Mus musculus: one gene and its partners. The protein of the gene in region 7 interacts with the protein of the main gene of each other region in a pairwise test. Links are inferred from orthologs where the notes say so. Each region holds a gene or a part of one and is shown on either strand. Other genes may lie near its edges.

What was found.
Region 1: the proteins of Setdb1 (region 7) and Mrpl44 interact in a two-hybrid assay, tested with the Homo sapiens proteins (2 studies listed by BioGRID and IntAct). The link is inferred for Mus musculus from reciprocal best matches to the Homo sapiens genes SETDB1 and MRPL44.
Region 2: the proteins of Setdb1 (region 7) and Ube2i interact in a two-hybrid assay, tested with the Homo sapiens proteins (2 studies listed by BioGRID and IntAct). The link is inferred for Mus musculus from reciprocal best matches to the Homo sapiens genes SETDB1 and UBE2I.
Region 3: the proteins of Setdb1 (region 7) and Mbd1 interact in binary tests that used the Homo sapiens proteins (3 or more experiments, as listed by UniProt). The link is inferred for Mus musculus from reciprocal best matches to the Homo sapiens genes SETDB1 and MBD1.
Region 4: the proteins of Setdb1 (region 7) and Tk1 interact in a two-hybrid assay, tested with the Homo sapiens proteins (2 studies listed by BioGRID and IntAct). The link is inferred for Mus musculus from reciprocal best matches to the Homo sapiens genes SETDB1 and TK1.
Region 5: the proteins of Setdb1 (region 7) and Cdk4 interact in a two-hybrid assay, tested with the Homo sapiens proteins (2 studies listed by BioGRID and IntAct). The link is inferred for Mus musculus from reciprocal best matches to the Homo sapiens genes SETDB1 and CDK4.
Region 6: the proteins of Setdb1 (region 7) and Tsc22d1 interact in a two-hybrid assay, tested with the Homo sapiens proteins (2 studies listed by BioGRID and IntAct). The link is inferred for Mus musculus from reciprocal best matches to the Homo sapiens genes SETDB1 and TSC22D1.

The regions. Positions count from the first base shown.
Region 1 is NC_000067.6:79,779,018-79,781,945, reverse strand, and holds the end of Mrpl44 (39S ribosomal protein L44, mitochondrial precursor), read right to left. Parts: intron 2,459-2,928; coding exon 2,280-2,458; intron 983-2,279; coding exon 808-982; 3' UTR 501-807; downstream 1-500. UniProt on the Homo sapiens protein: Component of the 39S subunit of mitochondrial ribosome. May have a function in the assembly/stability of nascent mitochondrial polypeptides exiting the ribosome.
Region 2 is NC_000083.6:25,270,632-25,274,719, reverse strand, and holds the start of Ube2i (SUMO-conjugating enzyme UBC9), read left to right. Parts: upstream 1-1,288; 5' UTR 1,289-1,399; intron 1,400-1,954; exon of another isoform or gene 1,955-2,182; intron 2,183-4,088. UniProt on the Homo sapiens protein: Accepts the ubiquitin-like proteins SUMO1, SUMO2, SUMO3, SUMO4 and SUMO1P1/SUMO5 from the UBLE1A-UBLE1B E1 complex and catalyzes their covalent attachment to other proteins with the help of an E3 ligase such as RANBP2, CBX4 and ZNF451.
Region 3 is NC_000084.6:74,266,886-74,270,974, reverse strand, and holds the start of Mbd1 (methyl-CpG-binding domain protein 1), read right to left. Parts: upstream 2,801-4,089; 5' UTR 2,542-2,800; intron 1,573-2,541; 5' UTR 1,547-1,572; coding exon 1,437-1,546; intron 1-1,436. UniProt on the Homo sapiens protein: Transcriptional repressor that binds CpG islands in promoters where the DNA is methylated at position 5 of cytosine within CpG dinucleotides. Binding is abolished by the presence of 7-mG that is produced by DNA damage by methylmethanesulfonate (MMS).
Region 4 is NC_000077.6:117,816,015-117,819,514, forward strand, and holds part of Tk1 (thymidine kinase, cytosolic), read right to left. Parts: intron 1,178-3,500; coding exon 1,088-1,177; intron 553-1,087; coding exon 433-552; intron 259-432; coding exon of another isoform or gene 169-258; exon of another isoform or gene 132-168; intron 126-131; coding exon 1-125. UniProt on the Homo sapiens protein: Cell-cycle-regulated enzyme of importance in nucleotide metabolism. Catalyzes the first enzymatic step in the salvage pathway converting thymidine into thymidine monophosphate.
Region 5 is NC_000076.6:127,062,091-127,066,334, reverse strand, and holds the start of Cdk4 (cyclin-dependent kinase 4), read right to left. Parts: upstream 2,801-4,244; 5' UTR 2,576-2,800; intron 2,116-2,575; 5' UTR 2,100-2,115; coding exon 1,882-2,099; intron 1,751-1,881; coding exon 1,615-1,750; intron 1,501-1,614; coding exon 1,333-1,500; intron 1,181-1,332; coding exon 1,071-1,180; intron 383-1,070; coding exon 332-382; intron 235-331; coding exon 99-234; intron 1-98.
Region 6 is NC_000080.6:76,414,547-76,418,620, forward strand, and holds the start of Tsc22d1 (TSC22 domain family protein 1), read left to right. Parts: upstream 1-1,274; 5' UTR 1,275-1,536; coding exon 1,537-4,074. UniProt on the Homo sapiens protein: Transcriptional repressor. Acts on the C-type natriuretic peptide (CNP) promoter. Acts to promote CASP3-mediated apoptosis.
Region 7 is NC_000069.6:95,354,403-95,358,559, forward strand, and holds the start of Setdb1 (histone-lysine N-methyltransferase SETDB1), read right to left. Parts: upstream 2,801-4,157; 5' UTR 2,663-2,800; exon of another isoform or gene 2,625-2,662; intron 1,801-2,624; 5' UTR 1,792-1,800; coding exon 1,532-1,791; intron 292-1,531; coding exon 140-291; intron 1-139. UniProt on the Homo sapiens protein: Histone methyltransferase that specifically trimethylates 'Lys-9' of histone H3. H3 'Lys-9' trimethylation represents a specific tag for epigenetic transcriptional repression by recruiting HP1 (CBX1, CBX3 and/or CBX5) proteins to methylated histones.

The DNA of each region.
Region 1 (2,928 bases), on a different chromosome or scaffold from region 7:
AGAACCTGGGGACAGCCAGTGCAGACATCACCCTGGACTACTGGTCCACACACCAGAGAAAAATGGCCAGCCAGCAGGATTTACAGCCTTTTATAGAGGCAGCCAGCCCACGGTGCCTAGGCGAGAATTGGAGTGGGTGAACAAAAACCCTGATCTCGGCCTATTACTCTTCTGGGGCTCAAAGTGGCCCAAATCAACTTCAAGCCCAAAAGACCTCACCTGGACAGTAGGAAGAGGCAGACACTTTTTGCTACAGTGGTCCCCATACCTAGCATCTAATTACCAAATATAGGCAGAGGACTCCCAACTGTCGCTGGGGCTCAGCTGAATATCTGATAATGATGTAGCCTGAACTGCCACCTGCACTTGCTTAGCTGTCCTGTCCCTTCAGGTAGACCTGGCCTACCCTTGCCCTGTACCTTTGCCCTCAGACCTGTAGCACTCCCAGCCACAGCCACCTCTCCAGCCTCTCTTGCACCAATAAAGAAAGGAAAGACATCTCAAAGAATAGCTTTTTATTCATATTACAACGAACTTCACATATGGCATGTATTTGACTACACTTCAAAGCTGGAGGGAATAAAATACATCTAGCTGTACAAATTATACACAGTAATAAACCAGTGTGTAAGAGAAACAGAAAAAAAAAGTGAAACAAATCCCTGTCACCTGATGTCACCTGAAAAGCACTTGTCTAGTTCTAGGGCCCAGGAAGAGCACTGAGACACTGCTCCCATATTCTGCGCTCTTCCCCTCTGGCCCTGTCTCACTGCTTTGCTCAGTAGTGATGATGTCACCCCTTGCTGCCTAGCTGGCAACGCTGGTTTGCTCTGCTCTCTTTGGGCTCTCTTTGGGCTTGGAGTAGTCCCAGGGCCGCCTGTTCTCTGTGAATCCGTACAGCTTCCTGAGGGCCACGCGCGCAGCTTCTTCCTCTGCAACGAGTACAGTTTCCCCAGGTCCCTCTGCAATCAGCTTTCTGTCACTAGGAAGAAAACAGACAGGGATCTGAACGCCGGGAAGACAGCACATGAGACAGTTATGCCTTCCATCCCATCCCATCCAAATACAACAACCTACGAGGCCCAGTTTCTCCAAGGCAAAGCATAAGGTGGCACAAGGATCAGAAGTTCACAAGGATTAGAGCTGGGTAGTGTGGCACACTCCTTTGATGCCAGCATTTGGGAGGCAGATACAGGCAGATCTCTGAGTTTGAAACAGTTAGGTCTACATGGCAAGTCCCTCAGATTAGAAAATCTTCACACAAAGATTGGAAAAATATTTGCACAAAATTTAATCTACTTATCCAAGATACTCAATGTCCACATCTACTGCTTTAATTGATTTCTTTCTCTCTCTCTCTCTCTTTCTCTCTCTCTCTCCCTGTCTCTCTGTCTCTCCCTCCCTCTCTGTCTCTCTGTCTCTCCCTCCCTCTCTGTCTCTCTGTCTCAGGAAAGCATTCCACCACTGAGCTACACCTCTACCCCACTTTAATCTTAAAACCTGAAATCCATTTCAGACAGGTTTATCTCTAACAAAACTACAAGGCTCTAAATGTGCTGACACTTTGGTAGACAGCAAAGCTCCTGTCTTCCACTCTGAGGCTCGGTTGAAGCTGCTGCCAAGAACAGATGTATTTTTTTTATATATATAGAAAATATAAGGTGAGCTTATATCCCATAAAACTCTATAGCAAACAGCTGTCCAAAAGTGACTTAGCAGGAGCTGGAGAGAAGGCTCACTGCTCAGAGCACTGGCTGTGCTTGTAAGGAACCCAGGTCGGATTTCCCGGATGAACCTAACAGCTAATAAACATCTGTAACTCTAGTTCCAGAACCGACACCTTCTTCTGGCCTCCACATGTATGTGATGCAGACATACATGCAGGCCAACACTCACACACATAAAATTTTCAAAAGTTACTACTAGCAAAACACAGATAACTTGTCTTCTATTAACAGCAGAAAGAGAAAACCAAAAAACCCACCACCATCACCAATAACAAAAACCAGATAATGACCCTATCCACCCTGCCCCACTAGGGTCTCACGGTGTAGTTCTGGGAGGCCTCTCTATAGACAGTCTGGCCTCAAACTCACAGAGATCTGCTTGCCTCCACCTCCTGAACACTAGCCTAAGATTAAAGACATGTACCTCCCCCCGCCCCCCACCCAGCTCAGAGATACAATTTTAATACTGTTAGAAGTAACACTTAAAAACTGGAAGTCTATCTTCTAGGCTTCCAATCAAAGTTAAAAAGTGAACAATGAATTTTTACTAACCAGTATAAGCCAACAAAATATAAAGGCAGAGCAGTTGTGCTTCCAGACTGCCTGGTGAGTCGAGACTCAGGAGCTGAGATGTTTCTCTTCTTCAGCTCCTCTACGAGTAGTCCCATGGGATTTACGACGGTCCACATCTCAAAGAGCTCTTTCCCCGTCATTTGTGTAATTAAAAAGTCCTGTGCATAAAATAACATTTAAATTAGAACAAAGAATATTATGGCCAGAATTCAAAATCCATTTTTACCATAAGAACTGATAGGCAATGAATGGCAAATGTACATATTAAGCACATACAGCCTGAAAATCCAAAATGCTCGGAATCTGAAACTTTTCGCACTAAAGTGTTGCTTGCAAACGTTGAGATTATAGAGTATGTTCGGTTTCTGGCTTTGGAATTCCAGCTTGAGCTTCTCCCTCATGGGCTCACACGTGCAAGGACAGCACACTCTACCAGAGTTATACCTGGATGTCCTCATAGGCTGTTGTTGTTTGTACTTTTAATAAAAATCATAGAACTTTAAATGTTTCAATTTCAAACCTAAAGAAAATGATGTCAAGCAACATAACCTATGAAAATTATTCAGAAGACTGACTCCTGCCTCAGAATTCAATACTCAAATCATTGATATTCAAAGTAGAAGCATGT
Region 2 (4,088 bases), on a different chromosome or scaffold from region 7:
CGACCTTGTCTACAACTCAGCCCCAATGAGAGACCAAGGTCCCTCAGGATCTGGTGCTCACTGTGATCTTAACTCTTAAACAGTACGGCTACGAACAGGAGGAATTAACAGGGTGAGCTCCAGGGAATGTTGGACAATTGTGGGCAAGGGGCATGGGACCTTAGTTCCTGTTTTGGGGCACCCAACAACCTCAAAAGGTAAGAGGAGAACGAAGGAAGGAGAGAGTGGTGAGTAGATGGACGGAGATACTGACAGATGAACACTGGAGTCCCTGGCAGCAATTGGACCCATAGTCCAAATTCCCAGGAAGCCCTTGTTGGCTGCAACTGGCCCCGAAAGGCCTCCAGCACGTGCCAAAAAAAAAGGAGCAGGCGCCAGAATGGCCACCAGGGGGCCAGCCGACGGTTCTAAGTACCCGTCCCGTCGGTGAGTCGGTGAGGAAGCATCCGAGCTGGGTTGCAGAGGACTGGCCGAGGAAACTGGACTAGGCCACGGCGTGACAAAAGCGTGTCCAGCGGGGCCAGCAGAAGCCGCACAGGGGTTTCAGGTGGAACTAAGGTGTGGGGTGCGGCACAGGGAAGAGGCCTGGGGCGCGCGCGCGGGGGGGGGGGTCCGCGGGTGCTGCCCCTCCCCCACGGCGCAGGCCCATTCCCCTCCCCCACTAGGGGGCTAACTCGTAGGTTAGGGAGCATCCACATTTCTCTCCCCGTCGGTTTTGCTTGCGTTTGGCCCTTTGTATGAGGCTAGTTCATTGGATAGTTTCGAGGTTCACCCCGCCCAAGTTCCTGAGCTGGCCAATTGCAGAAAGTGTCACAGCGCGCTAAGTTCCGGGGATCGTCACCGTACTGCGACGATTCCCAGGATGTTTAGGCCTCAGTGATCTTTGCTCCCGGGACTCGGGCCTTGAGCCCAAGGATACCTCCAGAGCCTGTGCCCGGGAAGGTGCCCTCTGAGCATCCGGATGACCCTTGGGAATCTATGCTTCTTTTTCCTCACACGACTCTCTGATGTGTCCTCGAGTGGACGCGCTCATCCCGAAGAGGAGTTTGCAGACGCTCCCTCGAGCCTAGGACGCGGCCCCTTTAAGAGTGCGGCCGTTCAGGGCACCGCCTGCTTGGACAGGCGCCCTGGGCTCGGGCTCCTTAGGCGGTCGCGGGCAACGAGGGCGCGGCAGCCGCGTGCGGGCTGCGGGAAGCTCGTGTTTAAGTAGACGCGTAGGCCACCGGACGGGAGGGACGGTAAGCTGAGCAGGCGTGTGGCGGGCAGCCCAGCTCAGGCCCCGCCCCGCCCGCTGGGGTCCTGCGCTCCGTGCTGCGCGCGGCGGGCGCGGAGGGAAGTCCCGAGACAAAGGAGCGCCGCCGCCTCTGCCGCCGCGACGGTCCGGGCCGCGGTCGCCCAGGTGAGCCGCCACCGGCCTGCGCACGCACTCCCATCTTCGCCCGGACTCGCCGCCGTTCCCAGTGAGCTTCCGGGAGGCGCCGAGCGGAGCCACGGCGGCCTCCTCTCGCTCGCGGCCTCCGAGTCTCGGCCTTCGGGGCACTAGGGCCCAGCCGCTGTGCCACGGGAGAATACAGGGTTGGGAGCACGGCCCACTGCCCCCCTACTCTTGGCGAACTGAGTTCCGCCGACCCCGCAACAGATAATCTGAGCTTCCCAGTAGCTCCCAGACGCGTTCTGGGCGGTGCTGGGCTCCGTAGTTAGGCGAGTGAGAGTGCGGAAGGCCGTGAGTACTGGGCCGTGTCGGGGCCTGTAAGCACCCGGAGTCACATCAGAAGGCTTCGTTCGTTACCGAGACGCTAGGCTTGTAGCTTGGGTTTTTGTGGGGGAGTCTTGTGTATATTCTCTGCCCCACCTTCCTTTATTCTTAAGGAACTGTTGTTTTAGTGGATGAGTTAGTTACCTGCCTGCATAGCAGAAAACGGGCGTCGAAGGGGAGTTTGTTTTCTTTCTAAAGGTATTCAGGCTGTGAGTGATCGCAGTCCTGCCCTCCTCTGGCTGTCTCTGCCACTGGAAACTTAACAAACAGCGTGGTATACTTACTGAAGGATCCTTAGGGCCTACAGTGTGCATTCGAGTAAAAGAGGCCGCTTCGCCCTATCCAAGCCAGCCGTAGTGCCTGGTACCCATGTTCCCTCTGCCGAGGTGGGCGGAGATAAGCAACCTTGCACAGGCTCTCTGACCGGTAAGTAGCTCTGAAGTAGGTGGTGTCGCCAGACAAATACTGTACACTGTAGGAAGCCTGGAGTCATAAGACCCATCCCTGTATGTCCTTCCTGTCTCTAGTAGTGGGGAGGGGAATGGTTTTTTGGTTTGGTTTGGTTTAGTTTGGTCATTGCATCACAAAACTTTTAGCTCGTGAAGTGACTGTTTGCCTGGGAAGGCAAGTTGTGTTTAAGTGGCTTTTGGAGTGCTTGCGGGAGCAGCAGCACTGCCCCCCAAGTTTCTGCCTAGATCATTGCCAGGGTGCTCCTAGGGTTCCTTTTCCTCGACCGTGGGGCAAAAGGCCTTTAAGAGTTCTGATAAGAGCCACCTCTCACTTCTCCCTGTTTTTGAGACAGGATCTCTTGTAGCCAAGGCTAACCTTGAACTCTTGGTGATTCCCTGGTTCTGTCTCCTTAACACTGAGTGTCCAGGCAAGAGCAGTTGAGCTAGCTTCTCGGTTCTTCTCACTTAGGATAGCTGCAGTTGGATGCTAGGACAGAGTTCTCTGGGCACACAACTTTATCCTGAAGTCAGTTACAGCTGTCCCAACAGCTTTGTGTGGCCCGGTGTCCAGGCTTCTTTCTCCAGAGCACTGGCCCCGGGCTCCAGAGAGAAACCTGTTAGGAAACCCTGCCCAGACTTGCTTGCCATCTTCTGCCATCTGATTGGCTGGATGAGGATAGCTGCTTCAGTGGAAGATGCTAGAGAAAGAGATTGGGCAGGCCTGTGCGTTGAGAAGTTGAAAAGAGGGACACATTGGAAGTGAAGCCCTATGCTCCAGTCACTCTTAGATGAGCGCCACCTGGGTCGTAAATTGCCTAAGAGATGACTATTAGGGCAGGTTGGGGTTTTGTGGCAGAACCTTGGTGCTTGTTCCTAGACAGGCTCTACTCCTGTGCTAGGAAAAGACAGTTGGGTTTGGGCTGGACTCTCTGTTTTGGACTTGAGGTCTGTAAGAGAGGAGCCTTGCCTTTAATTTGTATACTTTGTGATTTGGTATTGGAGTTTGTGGAGCATAAGTACTGTCTGTTGTGATTTATAAAAAAAGGAATCGGGATGTTTGATAGAGCCAGGTATGCTTAGAAGGAATGCCAACATTGTCAAGGCTTGTCCTGGTGGCTTGTGCTTTTTTTTTTTTAATATATTTTATGTGCACTATTACCTGTATGTTTGTGTGTTCGAGGGCATCCAGGTCCCCTGGAACTGGAGTTTCAGGCAATCATAAGCTGGCATGTGGGTGCTGGGAGTTGAACCCATTGGAAGAGCATCTAGTACTCTTAATTTCGCCAGTCCCAGCTTGTGCTTCTAAAAGAGGTTCTTCATGTTGGCTTAGAGTGTACAGGATATTAAAAATGCTGATATGAAGTGTTTGTCTTACAATGACCTCACCCACTGAAGTATTTCCTGAACTCTGGGCTCTGGGGTGATGCTGTACCTCTGATGGCAGTCCCAGCCCCTCTCTACTTGGATTTGTACAGTCATCACAAGCAGTCTAGGTGCTGTGGTGCGTGACTGTCAAGGCCAGCTGTGGCCACATGGTGAGACTGTCTCCAAAAATAAAGGAAAGAAAGAAAGAAAAAGTGGTCTAGGAGCCAGATGTAGTGGCTCATGCCTGTAATCCCAATACCAGGAGCTAGCCAGGAGTTTTGGGCTAACCTGGGCTACAGTGTGAGACTCTGAACTTAAAACAAGTCATCTGTAACTTCAGTGCAGGACTCACCAGAATGCTTTGACCCAGTGGGTCTGTCTGTTCAGGTTCAGAACAACTGTGCTTACAGATGGAGGTGCATATCTGATCAGCCCACCTGTAGCCCAGGGATCCTAGCTGGGTCAGGAACACGCAGTAAATCCTAGGGTAGTCACAGCTTTGCAGATAAAATGGGCAG
Region 3 (4,089 bases), on a different chromosome or scaffold from region 7:
ACAAACCCTGAATTTTTGAAACAAGGACCACTGTGCCTACAGGAGACACAGGTGGGTTCCAGCAAGCCTGTCACATTTTCAAGCAACTGATCAATTGTCCTCTGTTTTATGAGTCTCTGCTTAAAAACACTGGTTTCGTACAAATGACTCCATGATTGTTAATGACTAAGAGCCAATGGCTTTAGAGGATGTTTTATCTAGGTTTGTCTGCTAATGTTTTGTTGTTTTCCTGAAGACACCTGCTGTACAGAACATATACCGTAAGTACAGTGTTTCTCCACCACATCATCTTCTGAGACACACAGGCCAGCCAGCACCAGCTGAGAGGGTTCCATTTCCCTAATGATGGCTGATACATTTTTGGCTTTCCCTGTAACGATGCTGGTACTGTGCTTTACTGTAAGGCCATTGGTTCACGGCTACCTTAACAACTTCTCTGAAGCTTCATCAAGCACTATAGATGGTAATTTCTTGTTTTTTAACAAAAATCTCAATCATTCGATTTTACCATTGAAGACTTGGGAGCCCGATAGCTCAGAGAGGCAGAGAAAGCACCCAGTTGACCTTCCTCCTCTGCTGACAGCCCAGCAAGCTTTTCCCACTCACACAAAATCCCTTCTTCAAACTGAAAGTCCCTCCCTTCTACTTCCTGTGCATCTCTCTATCCACCCTCATGACTACCTCTTATTCTCTATGATATTTTAATTATCTTATGTTCACTTCCTGTCAACTGGTTGCTTGTTCTGCCTCTTGACCTAAGTTTGAGCCACACCACAGCTACAAACAAGACTTTTTTCCTAGTAGGTCTAATCAGTCTCAGGGGGTTCACAGTGTGACTAAATAGCCTACAACAATTTCTGTTCTTTCCAGAGCAGCCTCACACACATCTCAGCAAGTTTGTTCTTCTTGTTCTGGATGGACCAGTTCTAATTTTTGAACACAGCAACTCAACCAGACAGCACTGCAATTCATGTGTGGAAGAAAAGCTTATCTGACAAGGAGGAAAGAAAATCTTCTCGTGCTCAGAACACTAGAAAATAATTCAGCACTTTATTTGGGAGTCATTTTAAACAACACATTTGCCAACAAAAATATGGCTCTAAAGAGACAGTAGAAAGAATGACCAGTTTACAGAACCAGAGAGAGAGAGAGAGAGAGAGTTCTTGTTTAACTTTGATTCCGAATACACGCACTAGACAATTCAAATTCTTAGCTGTTCCATGTTTGTCTGTGAATAATCACAAATGCACCGTGAATATTGACTTTGACCAAATTAAATCAACTTTATTAGGAATACATGATTAAGAAAACACAAAACTTGTAATAAGGACTATGTGCACAATTTTAACTCCATCCATAGATTTAAACACACCCCTTTGCTCTAATTACTAACAAGGTCCAACGCCACTGAACATTGCCCAGAGCACACCCGTTACCTCTGGTAATAGATGTCTGAGCGTCCAAACGAGGCCCCTGACTTTCGAAAGGACTCTCGGCGTTTCCAGCCAGGGCCCAGGGCTGGGCAGTCCTGCCAGGACTCAGCCATAGATGCTTCAGGGACAGAACAGAAGCCTGCAAGATTGAAAGAAAGTAGAGTATAGGGGAGAGTGGCAAAGTATTTCCAGGCCACAAAAGCAACCTGTTTCTCCCTCTTTGTTCTCCTCCAAACATGCATATCACCCTTCCTCAGTCTGAGAAGACTCGGTCCTCCTATTCTGGGTAAGAGGTCCCTAATTCTCTGGTCCTTGGGACCCTGCTTCAGTGTTCTAAGCACCCATTTAAACTTTCCTTGACCTGAGTTTCCAACGTCTCCCGGTGTTCTAGCTGCATTTATGGATCAGAGCCCCCAACTCCTCCATACACTGGATCAAACATTACCACACATTCTTCCCATTCCTCAGGTTGGAAGCCTCCCTCTTAAGTTCAAGAGTTGGCCCCAGAGCTTATTTTCCCCTCATTATTCAGACCCACAACTCTTCTCCAGTCTCGGTCCCAAGCGTCTCTATTGCTCACCCCTACAGCCGGTGTTAGCTACTCTTTCTCTAACTGTATTACCATTCTCCATTCCTCTTATCATCTTGTGAAACTTCCTTTTCCCTCCACAGTGACCTGGCCTCCCAATTTCCTAGTTTTGTGTTCCAAGACAAGGCCTTCCCTCCCAACCATCGGACATTCTACTTCTTTTTGTCCACCAAGAGTGTCCAGTCCCTCATTATTCTAACTATTTCTCCCGTCTCGAGGCCTTATCTTTGCATGATCAGCTTTGGGACGCCATTTCTATCCTGTTTAACACGAAGACTCAATGACTCTCTGAACGTTCTCTCTCTTCTACTCCTCGCCATCCTAGTCCCAGAATCTAGACACCGCTGTCAATGCCCTGAGCCACATCCCTTCCTCTTCGGTCTTTCTGTCCAGTTACCCCAGTCCCCTCTTTAAACATTCAGAGGAAGTCATTCCTTCTCCGGAGGCGAGGGCCCCCGCTAGCGTTCCGAGCCTCCACAGCCTCCTCCCGAGCTGTCGCCACTCCCACGGCTGTCTCACCAGCTTGACACCAGGCCCGCAGCTTCCTCCGCTCTAGGCCCGTGGACCCATGAGAAGGATCCCACTAGCGCGACCGGCCCGTTCCACTCTTCTTCTCTTCCTCCTCCACCAGTGCCTCTTCCAAAACAGTCGCCTCTGCGGCGGTTGCTTACTCCCGGAACCGGAAACCAAATGCTTGCCTTTGGGGCTCCGACTAGGACCAGCCGCTGTGTGTACAGCCTGGTCACGCGTGCCCTCATTGGGGAGGCTCCGCGCCTGCGCACTGCGGCTTCACAGCGGCGCGCGGATTCCCGGGGATCTTCAGCGCCTGCGCACTGACAACACCCGCAGCCCGCCGGGTCTCGGTTGCCTGTGCGTCTGCGCGCCTCGGTGCACAGGCACCTCCACCTTCCCTGCTGCTCCGCTCCAAAGTCGCTCCGGACACAAGGGGGCGTGAATGGCCTGGCCGGCTCGGCCCACTCCGAATTTCGGTCTCCACAAATAGCAGGAGCACTGAACGACGAGGTTATGCCTGTCCACTTCCTTTTCCAGGAGACATTCCGCCTTTGTTCCTGTGACTGCCTTCTTCAGGATTGGTACCCGCTTCTTTGTGGAATAGGATCGCTGCACCCTGGCCAGGTTCCTTGCTTGGGAACCAAGGAGGAGGTGTGGTGTGCAAATGAAAGACCCCCGAAGGGAGACCCTCACTCAGCCGCGGACCCAAGAAGACACTGAGACCGAACTCAAAATGTAGAGGGCAAGATTTAATAAAGCAACAGCAAGAAAGCACATAGACCAGAGCTCTGGGGTCAAAGCTCATACACCTAGTATGGTGTAGAGGAGAATCGACCTCGAGCCAAATTTTTCACAGGCTTATATAAGAAAAACTCAAGGGGGGAGAGCGGGGCAGGGAAAGTACAAGTTTGCATAACTAAGGGGTTCTGCCAAGGGACAAGGGGTTCTGCCAAGGGAATTCTACGTAACTAAGGGGTCATGTCCTATTATTTGGCAATGTACCCGGTTCATTCTGAGGTTGTTCCAGGAGGCCCTTATCTCAAAAATGTTCTTGGAACAGTCTTTAGTTGGGAGGGTTCGAACTCTAGGATGAGGAGTTCAGGAATGCATTCTGGGGTGAAGAGTTCAGGAGTGTTCTGGGAACAATCTCTAGATGGGAGGGGTCGGGCTCTGGGGTGAGGAAGAGTTCAGTAATTTTTTATCTTTATTCTTCATCCCCCACTCCTTTTAGAAAACAGCTCTAATCTTAGAGCCAGTTTTCAACCTCTTGGAGGACCCGATATTGTTGCCTTAGTACCATAACATGTACTGCATTTATCCTTTCTCTAATAAAAGCTACCAACTTATTAAGGATGCAGGGGCCAAAAGTAAGCAAAAGCATAAGTGTAATTAAAGGTCCTGCTATGGTGGAGAGGAGAGTGGTGAGCCAAGGGGACTTATTAAACCAGCTTTCGAACCATCCTTGTTGGCTTTCTCTTTCTCTTTTACGTATATCTAGGCGTTCTCTAAGTTTGGCCATAGAATCTTTGATTACTCCTGAATGGTCAACATAAA
Region 4 (3,500 bases), on a different chromosome or scaffold from region 7:
TCTCCCGGCTGCCCCAGCACCAGACAGTTCTTGTTGTCTGAGCCAGCAGTCTGGGCTGAAGACTTCTTAAAGTAGCACAGGCGGCACACGGAGTGATACTTGTCGGCTCCGCCAATCACCTCCACCTGGTGGGAGGGAGATGTGAGGGCGGGACTCAGAAGCCGGAGCCTAAGCCCACCCCACTCCTTGGGCAGAAGTGTGTGTGTGTGTGTGTGTGTGTGTGTGTATACCTCTTTCTCCAGGCCCAATCACCTCCACCTGGTGGGAGGGAGATGTGAGGGTGGGACTCAGAAGCCAGAGCCTAAGCCCACCCCACTCCTTGGGCAGAAGTAAGTGTGTGTGTGTGTGTGTGTGTGTGTGTGTGTGTGTGTTGTGTGTGTGTGTGTGTGTGTGTGTGTGTGTGTGTGTGTGTGTGTGTGTGTGTGTGTGTACCTCTTTCTCCAGGCCCAGCCTCTTCGTGTAGGCAGCTTCTCGGAAGCACTCCATGCACACAGCGGTGAGCTTCACCACACTCTCCGCCAGGGGCACCAGGTTCAAGATGCTGCCGAAAGCCTGCACGGAAGACAGCAGGTGTGTGCGGTCAGTTAGCCAGGCACCTCCCTCCTCTGCCTGTGTTCACATGTGTATGTGTGTGGGGGCCAGAGAGCAACGTCAGGAGCTGTGCCTCTGCACTGTCTACCTTGGTGCTTTTGGAAACGGTCTCTCACTGGCTTGGGGCTTGCAGTGTAGACTAGATCAGCTTGCCAGTAAGCCGCTAAGATCTGCCTGTCTCTGTCTCCTGGTGATAGCATTTTAAAGAGTCCTGAGGATCTAACTCGAGCCTGTGTGCTTTGCAAGGCAAGCATGCTTCAGCTTGAGCTCTTCCCACCGCCAACGCTTCTCTTTTAAACCCCATGATTCAGGCTACATCATACTTTACTGATCCTGCTTTCTTGAGAGCCACACCCTCCTGCTCTCTACCCTTTGGCCAGTTCAGAGCACCCACTAGCCAATAGCTTCTATTCTGAACACACCTACTTCTGGGGAGACCTTGTATATTGTTTCCTGCCTCAGGATCCTCTGCCAAGCCAGAGTCAGACATCTTTACCTTCCTCTGGAAGGTCCCATCCAGCGCTGCCACAATTACTGTCTTGCCCTCGTTGGCCATCATTTCACAGAAATCCACAATGTCAGGAAACTGGGAAAAGTCCAGAGGATGAGGTGAGCTGCCCCAGGCAAGGGCCTCACGAAGACCGTGGGGGAGCTGAGCATGCAGGTAAGCCCAGAGCCGGAGACCAGACCACACCGCCAGTCCTGTTAAGACATCCCACCCACTTGCCCACTGCTACCCAGAGCTTGCCAGCAGGCTCCATCCAGCATCTGAGAGAGGCCTCTACACACCAGAGAGGCTGGAACAGCAGCTCTCAACTTGCAGGTCACGACCCCCGGGGGCTGAACGACCCTTTCTTTCACAGGGGTCACATATTAGATATTTGCATTATGATTCATAACAGCAGCAACATCATAGTTATTAAGTAGCAACAAAAATATATAGAATAGAGTTTATTTAGGCCATGAGGAGGGGAGTTGAGAGAGTAGCAGAGGCAGAGAAAAGCAGAAAGGAGAGAATAGAGACATGGGGGCCGACCATGACCATGTGGAGAGTGGGGGAAGGGAATGGGGAGCAAGGGGGTGAGAGGCAAGAGTGTAAGAAACAAAAATAATCTTCTGGCTGGGGTCACCACACGAGGAACTGTATTAAAGGTCTCAGTTAGGAAGGTTGAGAGCCACCAGGCTAGAACTTTCCCCTACAGTTCCTGGAAGGAAGCGGCCCTGCCAACACCAAGGGTCTCTTCCTTCCAGAACGGTCAGTGCACAAAGCTCTGGGCTTAAAGTCCTTGCTGACTTCTGTTAGGGCAGACTTAGAAGCTAAACACAGCTCATGTTTAAAATGGGCTTTCAGAGAGAGAACTCGGGGTGGACGGCAGGAAAGAGCACGTGCCACTCTTGCAAAGGACCCAGTTGCCAGGGCCACATGGTCACTTACAACCATATGTTAATTTCAGCTCCAGGGGCCCTGGTGACCTCTTCTGGCTTCTATGGACACTGCACACATTTGATAGACATACATATAAAAATAGCAAACACTCATACATTTCAGGAGCAGACCAGGTAGCTCAGTTGGTAGAAGAGAGCTTACCCAGTGTGCATGAAGCCTTGGGCTCCACCCCCAGCAATAAATGAACCAGACACAGTGTCCAACACCATAATACCAGTACTTTGAAGGTAGAAGGATTACAAAGTTCAAAGCTATGAGATCCTGTCCCAAAACATACAGGGCTGGGGAGATGGTTCAGCAGTTAAAAGTATGACTCGTTCCTATAGATTACCAGAATTCAATTCCCAGTACCCACATCAGATAGCTTAGCTCCAAGGGATCTAATATCCTCTTTTGGCCTCTGCAGGCACCCATAAACACGCACACGCACGCACGCTCTTCAGCCCCCATGGACGGGTGGAGGGAGAGCCTAAGTGAAAACCCAGAGAATAAGCACCATGAGGTTACACTGGCATTTTCCCACCAAGAAATCCCACGTGAGAGAGAATGGCTCTTGGCAATGAGATGTGCGAGGCAGGAGCAGGTTGGCAGGGATAGCTGCCCTCCGGGGTCACTCAGGCCGGCCAACCTTCAATAGCACAGTGTCTCCCTAGAATCAAGACCCAGGCTTCTCTCCCCTGCCCAGCAAGGCTGGGCATTTTCCTTAATAGTTCTTTACCTTCTTTGTTTGAGATAGGACTCTCACTGAATCTAGACCACAGCCATTCAGATGGGCGACAGGGAGCTCCAGGGACCCGCCTGCCTCTGCCTCCCTAGTACTGCGGTTATGGACACGTGGCTATACCCAGCATTTTACAGGGGTGCTAGGGACTCACGCCTGCAGAGCCAAGGCCTCACTGTTCTGTCTCCCCATCTCTTCCATCTTTTGCTTTTGATTGGTTATTACCGTGTAACCCAGGCTGGCCTGGTACTCAAAGCAATCTCCTGTCTCAGTGTTCGTGGAGCTGAGTGTGCAGGTCTGCCACCCTGCCTGGTTCCTCAGACCTTTTCTTGAGCACACTCCTGCTCCACGCCTTAGTGTTCTAGCCTTTCTCTTCGTCCCCAGTCCCTCCCAGTCTATCAACAGAGGTGAGCTGGAAGCTCCAGATTTGTCTCCAGACAGAGAATGCCACAGCCAAAGGGCAGAAACTTGGAATGAATGTGATTGGTCCCTGGACCCAGCCATCCCCACAATAGTCACAGCATGTGACATGGCCTGCTCTATAAAAACGCACATGTATAATTAGAAGCGTCCAGGCTGGGCTGGCACTCGTCAGAGTCCTGGCCCTGACTGAACATAATCTCTTGGGCCAACATCAGGCAAGGCACCCTGGCCAGCATGAATATAGACCCATTCCGCCGTCTCACCTGAGCATCGACAAAACAGGCACAGTTTATGCCAGAAGCAGCCAGACAGGCACTG
Region 5 (4,244 bases), on a different chromosome or scaffold from region 7:
AGGTCCTCACACTTATGCAAAGGAACTCTACCCACTGAGCCAGTTCCCCAGGCCACGGTATTTCTTATCTTAACCCAATCCCCGCCCAGGTCCAGTACCAGTAGCAGCTGCGCTCCAGACTCCTCCATCTCTGGCACCACTGACTGCACTGGCCGAGGCCCTCTGGGGGCAAAGGCTCCTCGAGGTAGAGATACCTCTCGAGGCCAGTCGTCTTCTGGAGGCAATCCAATGAGACTGTGGGGACAGGACAACTCTGTTAGGAGGGGCCTTTCCCAGCTCCTGTCTCCGCGGCAGCAGGAAATGTCTTTCCTTTTCCTTATCAAATACTTACTCAAAGATTTTCCCCAACTGGTCGGCTTCAGAGTTTCCACAGAAGAGAGGCCTAAGGCAGAAAAAGACTCAAAGTATGTGTTATATCAAAAATAGGGGAGTGGGGGCTGGAGAGACGGCTCAGCAGATAAGACTGCTCTTCCGGAGGTCCTGAGTTCAATTCCCAGCAACCACACGGTGGTTCACAACCATCTGTAATGTAATCTGAAGTCCTTTTCTGGTGTGTCTGAAGACAGTGAGTGTACTCACATACATGGAAATAAATACATTTTTAAAAGAAAAAAAAAATTGAGGAGTAACCGTTATGTAGACCCAACTAGAGAGTGTGGAGACGAGGAACGGGAAGATCCTAAATCCAGGGCATGCCTATATGGTTTCTTGGTTCTAGGCAAGGTGGTCAGTATGAACTGGGTAGGCTGGATGTCCCGTACCATACATGCACAAAAGCGAATGGTCAAGAACAGGCATGTCTGTAAAAGACTTGGGGGCCGACGGAGTGTGAAGTTCAGTGGCACGGAAGCATTTACTGAGTGTGTGTGAGTTCTGATTTCAACCTCTAGCACAGTAAGACAAGCAGCCAAAGCTATGTGCAACTGAAGGTAGGTTAAGAGCTTCAAGTCCCATACGGGCGGTGGTAACGCATGCCTTTAATCCCAGGGCTCTGTGAGTTCAAGGCCAACCTGATCTACGGCCAGGACTAACCCTGTACCATTAACAACAAAAAGTTTCTAGTCCCATACTTCCGACGGAACATCTCTGCAAAGATACAGCCAACGCTCCACATGTCCACGGGTGTTGCGTATGTAGACTGCAGAAGAACTTCAGGAGCTCGGTACCAGAGCGTAACCACCTGAAGAGAATAGTAGAAATGAGTGAGTGTCGACCTCACGAACCAGACCTGCCTGGCTCTGAAAACTTCATGTACAAGACTCCTCAGTTGCTATGGGAAACCACCAAGAGCTACCCCTATCACAACCTAGTCGGCTAACGCCTTTTACTGACCACAGGCGTGAGGGCCATCTGGTAGCTGTAGATTCTAGCTAGGCCAAAGTCAGCCAGCTTGACGGTCCCATTACTTGTCACTAGAATGTTCTCTGGCTTCAGGTCCCGGTGAACAATGCAGTTTGCATGAAGAAAATCCAGGCCGCTTAGAAACTGACGCATTAGATCCTGTTTTTCAAGAAGAAAGCACAGAACACCGGAAACTATGTATCACTTCAAAATCCCAACAACTTCTATTGCAAAGATCGGTCCACCCTCGCCCCCAGCCCCACCCCTACTCACCTTAATGGTCTCAACCGGCAGGCCCGGTGGAGGTGCTTTGTCCAGGTATGTCCTCAGGTCCTGGTCTATATGCTCAAACACTAGGGTGACCTTGATGTCCCGATCAGTTCGGGAAGTAGCACAGACATCCATCAGCCTGAGAAGAACAAATGATCACCAGCTAGTCGTCCCCTTTGTCTCAACGTGGCCTCTGGCGTTCTAGGGTCCCACTCCTGCCTTACGGGTCCTATTGTCCTCTCCGCCCCACTCCCAATCCAACCTTCTCACCGTACAACATTGGGATGTTCAAAGGCCTCCAGCCTCCTTAACAAGGCCACCTCACGAACTGTGCTGACGGGAAGGCCCCCTCCAGCTGCTCCTCCATTAGGAACTCTCACACTCTTGAGGGCCACAAAGTGGCCACTGTGGGGATCTCGGGCTTTGTACACCGTCCCATAGGCACCGACACCAATTTCAGCCACGGGTTCATATCGAGTGGCAGCCATTCTCGAAGCAGGGGATCTACAATCACAGAGGCTTCTAATACCAAACTCACTCTCACGGTTAGGAGGGGGATGACCCGGCGGTAACAAAGGAACTCCTGCACAAGACCTCGCCAACGCGATCAGCAACATCCCACCCCTCCACACTTCCAGGGCCCGCGCCTTAGGTAACACAAAGACTCCCATCAAACCCTCCTCCTCCGGCCACGTTTTGTCCCGGAGGAAGAAAAAGAATGCTTTCTTTCCTTTCGGAGGACATCGCACTAGGCACAAAGAGGATCACACAGTGCACAGGGTTTGCACCGAAGATTCTGCACTTCACTCTCCAAAATCACACCCTTGCCCGCGACCACAAAGGCCCCACTTCCCGCCATTGGGCCACCTTCCATAATCAGCCAGCGACGCGCACGCGTGGGGAGCTGGAGGGTGCTGGTGGTGGCGGGGACTGGTCCCCCGATCCTGGATGAGACTGCACTCACCTTACGCTCGGCTAAGAGCTCTGGAGGTGGCCCTTTATCTGGGCCCGGGAGCCGGTTCCTGCGGCGCCATACACCGGGGATCGGTCCCGGGCAGCTGGACGCTTCGGGCCAGACCATAGACACAGGCCGCGAGCTAGAGAGGCCCCCTCACCCCCACCCTCACCATGTGACCAGCTGCCAGAGAGGCGCGCGGAAACCCGGGGGGCGGGGCGGGCGCCGGACGTTCTGGACACGTGATCTTCACCCTTGCGCAGTGGGCAACCCGGGCTGCTTTGATGGGAGGGGTGTGGTGGGGAAGGGGGCGGGGCCCTGACGGCCACGTGACCTGTTGCTATCCCACGTGACCCCTTGACTTTGCGCTGGGAAGCAGAGGTGTGGTTACGCTGTGTGGCACGTGACTGGCTGCCATACCCTGACTGCCGAGGGGGTGTGTGGGGGCGAGAGAGGGTGGAGCACAAGGCGGTGTCATGGCAACCGGGCCAACCAGCTCTCAACTCTGGGCTCAAGGCCGAGCCAGAGCGCATCTTCAGTCTCACTATGGGTCTCTGAGTGGGCGGGAGGTCGAGGTGTTAGTGGGAGATCCTGGTGCCAGAAATGGTGCTGTAACATTTCCACTCCACCGCCATGGGGAAACATTCGTATTTGTGTCTTTCTTTTACTCATTCATTCAACACAATTTTACTAAGTGCTTCCTTCCAGTTGGTATGCGATGTTTTTGTTTTGGTGTCTCAGTCACTCGCCCTTTGAAGTGATGATAAAGATAACTAGTATAGGTAATTGTGGTCTTATAAAACAGGGAATAAATAATTTCTATCTGAGGAGGAAACTAGGATTAAAAGATGGACAGAAGGAAATATAATAAGCCACTGTATGGGTATGGGGGGGCAGCAATTTAATGCCCTCCCTCTTCCCAACCTGTAAACCTCCCCAGGAATATTAAAAGCAGCAAGAAGTGATTGAAAATAGGGGTTCTTGATTTTACAAGAGTCTTTACACTAAGATTGCTACATATATATGTGATTGCATAAACAGATGACAGGGTAAGCATGTCCAGGGTCAGTCACCACCACATTGCTGGAAGATGACGTGTCCTTTTGCAAACCTGCAACTCCTCGTTGGGGTCATGTTCCTATTTTTTCCCCAGTCCAGCTTAGAACATATTCTTGATCTGATCAGCGTTTCCTAAATGGTCTGCCTACAGAAATCTAGTTAGACAGAGGTAGATCTGTGTGACGATTTCGTCTGCTCCAACTCCTTTATTGTCTCCCACCTCTTAGGGATATGGGATGAAGGACCATGTTCCCATTTGTGAAAAATTGCCTAAAATCTAGAGCTATTTTAAATTGATTTGGGGTGGGGGTGCTGGGGATTGGAGTTAGTGTTTTTTTGTTTGTTTGTTTGGTTGGTTTTTTGGATTTTCGAGACAGGGTTTCTCTGTGTAGCCCTGGCTGTCCTGGAACTCACTCTGTAGACTAGGCTGGCCTCGAACTTGGAAATCTGCCTGCCTCTGCCTCCTGAGTGCTGGGATTAAAGGCGTGTGCCACCACACCCGGCTTGGAGTTAGTGTTTTTATATGCAGTAAGCATGGGTTCAGTCACTGAGCTATATTCCTGAACCCTAAATTCTAAAATCATATTTGAGACACTAGAGTTGAGGCTGGTCTCAAATT
Region 6 (4,074 bases), on a different chromosome or scaffold from region 7:
CACCCCCCACCGCCCTCCGGCGTCGGCGACTCCGCCGGCCTTCGGTAATTTCCGTGGGAGACGGAGCCGAGAGCTCGGCGCGGACCGAAGACAGGCCACCTCCCCTGGTCAGACCCGGCTTTATGTCTGCAGCGCCGGCGCGCACGCGCAGACGCCATCTTCCCTCCTCTCCTCCACGACCCCTCCCCCCTGCCACCTCCTCCTCCTCCTTCTCCTCGGTCAGAGCTCGACCCTCCTCCTCTCGCGCTGGGGCGCTGGTCCCTCCTCTCTTGATGCCGCGAGAGACCAGGGGATACGGAGCAGCCCGAGAAGAGCACTAGTAACAACCATCACAGCCCCCTCCTCGCCCGACGCCCTCCCACTCCCCCGCCCCGCGCCGCCACCGACCAACCCCACCTCTCATTTCTTTGAACGGCGTCGGCTGCAGCCGCTGCACCAGCCCCGTCTGGCCGCCACCGCCGCGAAAAGGAGCCACCGCCGCCCGCGGCCCCCTCCCTCCCTCTCTCCCTCCCTCCCGGTCGCGGGAGCAGCTCGGTGCCGAACCAGCCGGCGGGCCGAGAAGAGGACGCGAGCTCGCCCCTCCGCTCCCGCGCACGTCCCGCCGCCCGCCGGAGCAGCCCGGGCGCCGGCGCCCTTCCTCTCCGAGGACGTGTGGCGAGCCGAGCGCCTGCCCCGAGGGAGGAAAATGCTCGGGCTCCATGGCTGCCAGTGATGGAGCGGTCCCTGGGCTCCCGCTGCTGCTGCCGCCACCGCCGCCGCCGCCGCGCCCCGGCCGCGCTCCGCGAGGATCCGGCGTCTCTGCGCGCCCGCCCGCGCCTCGTTGCTGGGCTCACCGTACCGGGCGCCCCGCCACCGCCCCGCTCGCAGCCGCGCCGCCCGGGCCCCAGCCGCGGCCAGCCTTTCCTCCCGGAGCAGCCGTCGCGAGCCCAGGGGGTTTGAGAGGGGCCGCGGGCCGTGGGGGGAGGCCCGAGCGGGGCCGGCCGCGCCGGCAGGGGAGGTTGGAGCGACGCTGAGCTCAGGGCTCGCCGGCGGCCGCGGCGCCGGGGGTGGCGAGGGCCGGGGCGACCGCTCGCTCCGCGCTGCCTCGGTGCAGGACGAGCGGAGGGGCTTTTGCAGCGGCCGTCGCCGCGGGAGGAGGGGGTTGAGCTGGCTCCGGAGTTGGCCAAAGAAGGTGGGCATTTCTCGCTTCTCCTCGCCTCCCCCGCCCCCTCCTGGGCTCCCCTCCCTCCCGCCCCGCACCCCACGTGAAGCGGAATATAAAGGGGGGTGTGTGACTGGAGGGGGAAGTGAATGGCGAAGGACTGAAGGGGTCCCCCTTCGGTTCCCCAGCCACCTGGTTCACCCGGTTCATCCTCCCTTCCCGAAGTTAGCCCTCGAAGGCACGAGCAGCCGGCGCCTTCGGCAGAGGAGGAGGAGGAGGAGGGATCGCGTCGGGCGGAGCTTCAGGTCCTGTTCGTCTCTCCGGCTTCTCCATACAAAGATTACGGTGCAGAAGGAAATTGCACTTGCCTCCTCCGCCCCCCGGTACCCAGCACAATGCACCAGCCGCCGGAGTCCACCGCCGCGGCGGCCGCTGCTGCAGACATTAGTGCTAGGAAGATGGCGCACCCGGCAATGTTCCCTCGAAGGGGCAGCGGTGGTGGCAGCGCCTCTGCTCTCAATGCAGCAGGTACGGGCGTCAGTGGTGCTGCTCCATCTTCTGAAGATTTTCCTCCTCCTTCGCTGCTCCAGCCGCCGCCTCCTGCTGCATCTTCCACGCAGGGACCCCAGCCTCCGCCTCCACAAAGCCTGAACCTCCTCTCGCAGGCTCAGCTGCAGGGACAGCCTCTTGCGCCAGGCGGAACTCAGATGAAAAAGAAAAGTGGCTTCCAGATAACTAGCGTTACTCCGGCTCAGATCTCTGCCAGCATCAGCTCCAACAACAGCATCGCGGAGGACACCGAGAGCTACGACGATCTGGATGAGTCGCACACGGAAGATCTCTCCTCTTCCGAGATCCTCGACGTCTCCCTTTCCAGGGCCACTGACTTAGGTGAGCCTGAACGAAGCTCCTCAGAGGAGACTCTGAATAACTTCCAGGAAGCTGAGACACCTGGGGCAGTCTCTCCTAACCAGCCCCACCTTCCTCAGCCTCATTTGCCTCACCTTCCACAACAGAACGTTGTGATCAATGGGAATGCCCATCCCCACCACCTCCATCATCACCATCACCCTCATCATGGGCACCACCTTCACCATGGGCACCATCATTCATCACATGCTGCTGTGGCCGGTCCATCCATTCCCGGAGGGCCACCCTCGAGCCCAGTGTCCAGGAAACTCTCTACAACTGGAAGTTCTGATGGTGGTGTGCCAGTCGCACCTCCTCCTGCAGTACCATCGAGTGGCTTACCAGCATCAGTGATGACGAACATCCGTACTCCAAGTACTACAGGAAGCCTAGGTATAAATTCGGTTACTGGCACGAGCGCTACGAATAATGTTAACATTGCTGCTGTGGGTAGTTTCAGTCCCAGTGTGACGAACAGCGTGCATGGTAATGCTAATATAAATACAAGCAATATCCCTAATGCTGCTAGCATAAGTGGTGGGCCTGGAGTTACCAGTGTTGTTAATTCGAGTATCTTGAGTGGCATGGGCAATGGTACCGTTTCTTCCTCTCCTGTTGCTAACAGTGTCCTTAATGCAGCTGCAGGTATCACTGTGGGAGTGGTTTCCAGTCAGCAGCAGCAGCAGCAGCAGCAGCAACCAACAGTTAACACATCGAGGTTCAGGGTTGTGAAGTTAGACTCTACTTCTGAACCCTTTAAAAAAGGTCGATGGACTTGCACAGAATTCTATGAGAAGGAAAACGCTGTGCCAGCTACAGAAGGCGTGGCCGTCAATAAAGTGGTGGAGACGGTGAAGCAAACCCCCACGGAAGCATCGTCCTCGGAGAGGGAGAGCACTAGTGGGAGTTCTGTGAGCAGTAGTGTGAGCACACTGAGTCACTACACGGAGAGTGTGGGAAGTGGAGAGATGATGGGAGCCCCGGCTGTGGTGGCGCCGCAGCAGCCGCCGCTACCACCAGCGCCTCCAGGTCTTCAAGGTGTGGCTCTCCAACAGCTAGAGTTCAGTAGCCCTGCTCCACAGAGTATTGCGGCGGTTAGTATGCCACAGAGTATTTCTCAGTCACAGATGTCACAAGTACAGTTACAGCCTCAAGAGTTGAGCTTTCAGCAGAAGCAGACTCTTCAGCCTGTCCCTCTGCAAGCCACCATGAGTGCCGCAACTGGTATCCAGCCTTCCCCTGTCAGCGTGGTCGGCATCACGGCGGCTGTAGGTCAGCAGCCTTCTGTTTCCAGCCTGGCTCAACCGCAGCTGCCATATTCTCAGACAGCTCCTCCCGTGCAAACTCCTCTTCCAGGGGCACCACCCCAGCAGTTACAATATGGGCAGCAGCAACCAATGGTTCCTGCGCAGATAGCCCCAGGCCATGGCCAGCCAGTGACTCAAAATCCAACTTCAGAGTATGTGCAGCAGCAGCAGCAGCCAATATTTCAAGCAGCATTGTCCTCTGGGCAGTCCAGTTCCACGGGCACGGGGGCAGGAATATCAGTGATTCCTGTGGCTCAGGCACAGGGGATCCAGCTGCCAGGGCAGCCCACAGCAGTACAAACACAACCTGCAGGGGCGGCTGGGCAGCCCATTGGCCAGGCTCAAACAGCAGTGTCCACTGTACCAACTGGCGGTCAGATTGCAAGTATCGGTCAACAGGCAAACATACCCACTGCAGTACAGCAGCCCTCTACCCAAGTTACACCTTCAGTTATTCAGCAAGGTGCTCCTCCATCTTCACAAGTAGTCCTACCTGCTCCAACCGGGATCATTCATCAGGGAGTTCAAACCCGTGCTTCAAGCCTTCCACAACAATTGGTCATTGCACCCCAGAGTACCTTGGTAACTGTGCCTCCCCAGCCACAGGGAGTAGAAACCGTGGCCCAAGGGGTTGTTTCCCAGCAGTTGCCCACAGGCAGTCCTCTGCCCTCTGCTAGCACTATTTCTGTTACAAATCAGGTTAGTTCAGCCGCTCCT
Region 7 (4,157 bases):
TTACTTGTTGTCATAATAAGTCAGTCAGGTTTTTGGCATATTAAGTAATGACAATGTGATTCTTTATGTGCAACATACTTGTCTTCCAGTATTTCAGCTTCCATTCTAAGACTTTTCTGACCAAAGCTTCATCATTTACCTGAATCAATACTGAGGACATCATCATCTTCATCAGGAATCTCAATGATCTCTGTGGGCCGGGAAGCTTCATCCTCAGAGCTACTGTCATGATACTGTAGTCCCAGCTTAGAGTAGAAATCCTTCACCAAAGACTCACAGTTAGTCACTTCCCTGATATTGGAACACATGCAGAAAAGATCAAAGCCAGTGGAGACAGTGCAGTACAAGAGCATTACAATGTATATACATTTATACAATACCTAGCCTCTGAGCTCACACATGTAATCCTAGTCCTTAGCCTGAGGAACCAAGACTAGCTAGGTTTGAGGTCACTTTGGTCAATAGAGTTCATGGTCAATAGAGTTCATGGTCAATACAGTTCATGGCCAGCATGGCCTACAGAGTAAGAAACCTTTAGACAGAACAAAAACAGAACCCAGCACTCAGGAGGCAGAGGCAAGCAGATCTCTGAATTCCAGGCCAATTTGGTGTACAGAGGTAGTTCCAGGACAGCCAGAGTTACAAAGAAACGGTCTCAAAAATAAAACAAAACAAAAACAGAAACAAAAACAAAAAACAACCCCCCCCACATACAAAACACAACACAGTAACAGGAAATTATGTATATTTAAATATAGACTGTTTGCTCTACATGTTCCAAAGTACCTATTTAGAATGCTTTTCCACAGAATGTTTGTTTCCATGTAATTCTTCTATGAAACAATTTTCTAGACTTCAATTTTCCACCTGCTGTTACAAAAGTCCTAATATCTGATATTTATTATCTATGTGGCTTTGGGAACTAAGAAGACAGCTTTAAATATCAACTTCATTTTGCTGGGTGCTGTGAAACATCCCTTTAATCTCACCACTGGAGAAACAAAGGCAGATGGGTCTCTATGAGTCCAGCTCAATATGGTTTATATGGTGAGTTCTAGGGCAGCCAATTCTACGTAAAGAGACTTTGTATCAAAAATGGATGAACGAATGAAACCCCAATCAACTCAACAAGCATAAGCTAGGATCATTTCATTGCAGCTCTTAGGAGGCAAAAGTCGGCAGATCTCTGCAAGTTGCAGGCCAGCAAGATTTAGGTATTGGGATTCTGTCTCAGAAAAACAGAAAAGACAGCAACTCTACAATCTTCACTTTCTGGGGATCTTAGGAAGGAAGTTCAGTCCAGGAGGAAGAGAAGGGAATTCAAGCCTTTAACCTAACTACTGCTGATCACATAGCAGCTACCCACAGGGAAAAAGTGTTCTGTTGCAACTCTGCATTACAAACTCAGAGGAAGAGTAAGGCCCCACCTGACTGAAGTCGCCAAAGTATAAAGTGCTTAGGACAATGACAACAACAGTCACTCCAAGGAGGACACAGATGGACATTTACTTCTGCTTCCTGGAATCCCTACCTGGATGCATCATCAAACAGCCGATCAACATAAGCCACTTCAGACTCTTTCTGTAGTACCCACGTCTCCAGCTCTGCGAGCTGCTTCTTGCGCTGCTGTATGCAGTCCATCTTTTCCAGTTCCTCATCAATGTACTGACGAAGTTCCTCCATAGAGATACCCAGCTCTTCAACCACCGCCTGCTGCAGCTCAGCAATCTCTGCAGAGTCAGCTGCAGCTGGCGCTGCAGCCAAACTCATGCACCCAGGGAGGGAGGACATGCTTTGGCCCTGTGCAGGATGAACAAGAAGCGAAAACAACTCTAACCGAGGCTCACACCATTTCTGTCTCATAATCAAAAGCCTGCAAACTCTGTTCTCTCCCCTCCTCCTCCACAAGGCGATCTGGAGATTTCCCGGGGAGCCTCATCTTCTCACACAGACCCAAGCTCTGGGTAACAACTAAGAGCGGGGAGACCCTGGAGAACTCCAACACGCACCAGGGAGCTAGCTAAAACAAGGTTTCAGGAAACCGAAGAGTGCTTATCGACCAAGGAAGATACTTCTGGGAGCTACTTGTTCCTTAATTGGCTCTGTCACTACACCGAGTCTAACCGAGGCACCGGCGGCTGGAGACAGGTGAGCCGCAATGAACTAATTCCACCCGGGTTGTTTAGTCCTCCTTTTCCTCGCGGCTCTTTGCTTTCCCGTGGCAAGGTGGCTTTTAAAACCTCCTAGGGCCATGCAAGAGGGCAGCTGCACAAGGGATGGGCTTCCCGGCTGCACCAGGCCCTGGGAGTCTGCGACCAGCAAAGAAGAAAAGGGACGAAGAGAGGAAAAGTCGGACATCCCTACGTGATCAGAGCAAAAGCTTGAAGCCATGGCGACCACCCAGCAGCCACACTCGGAATAACGCGCACAGGCGCTTGGCCGCCCGGGCCACGCAGAACCGCAGCAGCCTCCAGCCTGCCGCCCTCCTGCTTTCCCGCGCCTCATCGACGCACCGCCTCACCCACGCACCGCCTCGCGCCCACCCGCAGCCGCCGCCTCAGGCCCGCCCGCCCCCGGCTCGCTCCTCTCCCGCCAAGTTCCCACACACAGCCCCAGCCTCGCACCAGCCAAGCCTCCCAGGTCCACCTCGGCCTCAGCGCACCTCAGTCCGTCCTCCCCACAACTCTGGCGCCCGACCGCAAGGGCCGCGTCTCACAACCCCGACCCCAGGTTTTACTCCAGGGCTCCGCCTTGCCAAACCCAGGCAAACTGAAGGAGAGACGGCGGGGGAGGGGAAACAGCGTGAGGAGGCAGGAGGGGGCGGGGAGCAAACCGACGGTCCGGAAGCAATAGGGAGCGTCCTTCCGGCCTCTCCGACGGTAGCCCGAAGGGACCAAATTTATTGCATAGCGCTGCGGTACAGGGGTTATGGGAATTTAAGGAGAGTATGCATGTGTGAAGTAGGGCATTTCCAGATAAGGGGCTAGTTGGACAAAGCAGGTATTTTCCGGAGTCATTTATGGAAGCTCTTCCCCTACAGGTGGCCAATATAGTTGATTATTGTTTTAATTTGAAGATTTTTTTTAGTAATAAAATTAATTTTTTAGCAAAATTAATGAGTGTTCATATAGGAAATAAGAAAAATACAAATAAACAACAACAAAAAACTCATCATTTTATCACTGAGATTGTGTAGTTTTCATCTTTCACAAGATTAAGGTTTTTTGTTTTTTGAGGTTTTTTTTTGTTTTTGTTTTGTTTTGTTTTTGTTTTGTTTTGTTTTTTTGTTTTTTTTTTTTGTTTTTTTTGTTTTTTTTTTTTGAGACAGGGTTTCTCTGTATAGCCCTGGCTGTCCTGGAACTCTCTCTGTAGCCCAGGCTGACCTCGAACTCAGAAATCTGCCTGCCTCTGCCTCCTAAGTGCTGGGATTAAAGGTGTGCACCACCACTGCCCAGCTCTCATTTCTTTCTTTGCTTCTTTCTGCCTACTCATCTTTGAATGCCATTACTTTCACAGCAGATCTGGCCAATCTCCCAGCACTGCTCACACCCCTCTAGCCTAAGAACAGCCTTACAAATAAACTGCCAAACTCAAGTACACTGTCTTCTTCCACTGTCCTCCCATAACCCTGCCTGCAAGGGTAAAGGAAGCTGAAACACAGAAATAAAGAGCAGACTCAAGAAGTGTTTTGTTGTGGTAGTTTTAACATGGGGTCGTGCTTTGTAATCTTGGATGGTCTGGCACTTGCTATGTAGACTGTGCAAAGATCTACCGGCCTCTGTTTTCTACCTGTTGGGATTAACCTGTGAGCCACCATGTCCTGCAAGGTATCTATATAAAATATATTTTTCTGTACACCTGTGTGTCTGTGTATGCATATGTGCCCATAAGTGCAAGTTGGCCTCAAAAGCCCGAAGAGAATACTGGATTCTATGGAACTGCAGTTACAGACAGTTGCCATCCAACATAGGCACTAAAATTCAAACTCAAAATAATCTGGAAAACAATAAGTGTTCTTAAATACGAAATCATTTTCCAGCCCTTGTGTGTGTTTGTGTGTGTCTTTAAGGAATCCAAAACATTTGGGCAGCCATGGCCCTCGTGTTCTTGGCAACAGAGCCCAAAAAACCGGTCCCGGAGTTTACTTACACAGCAGA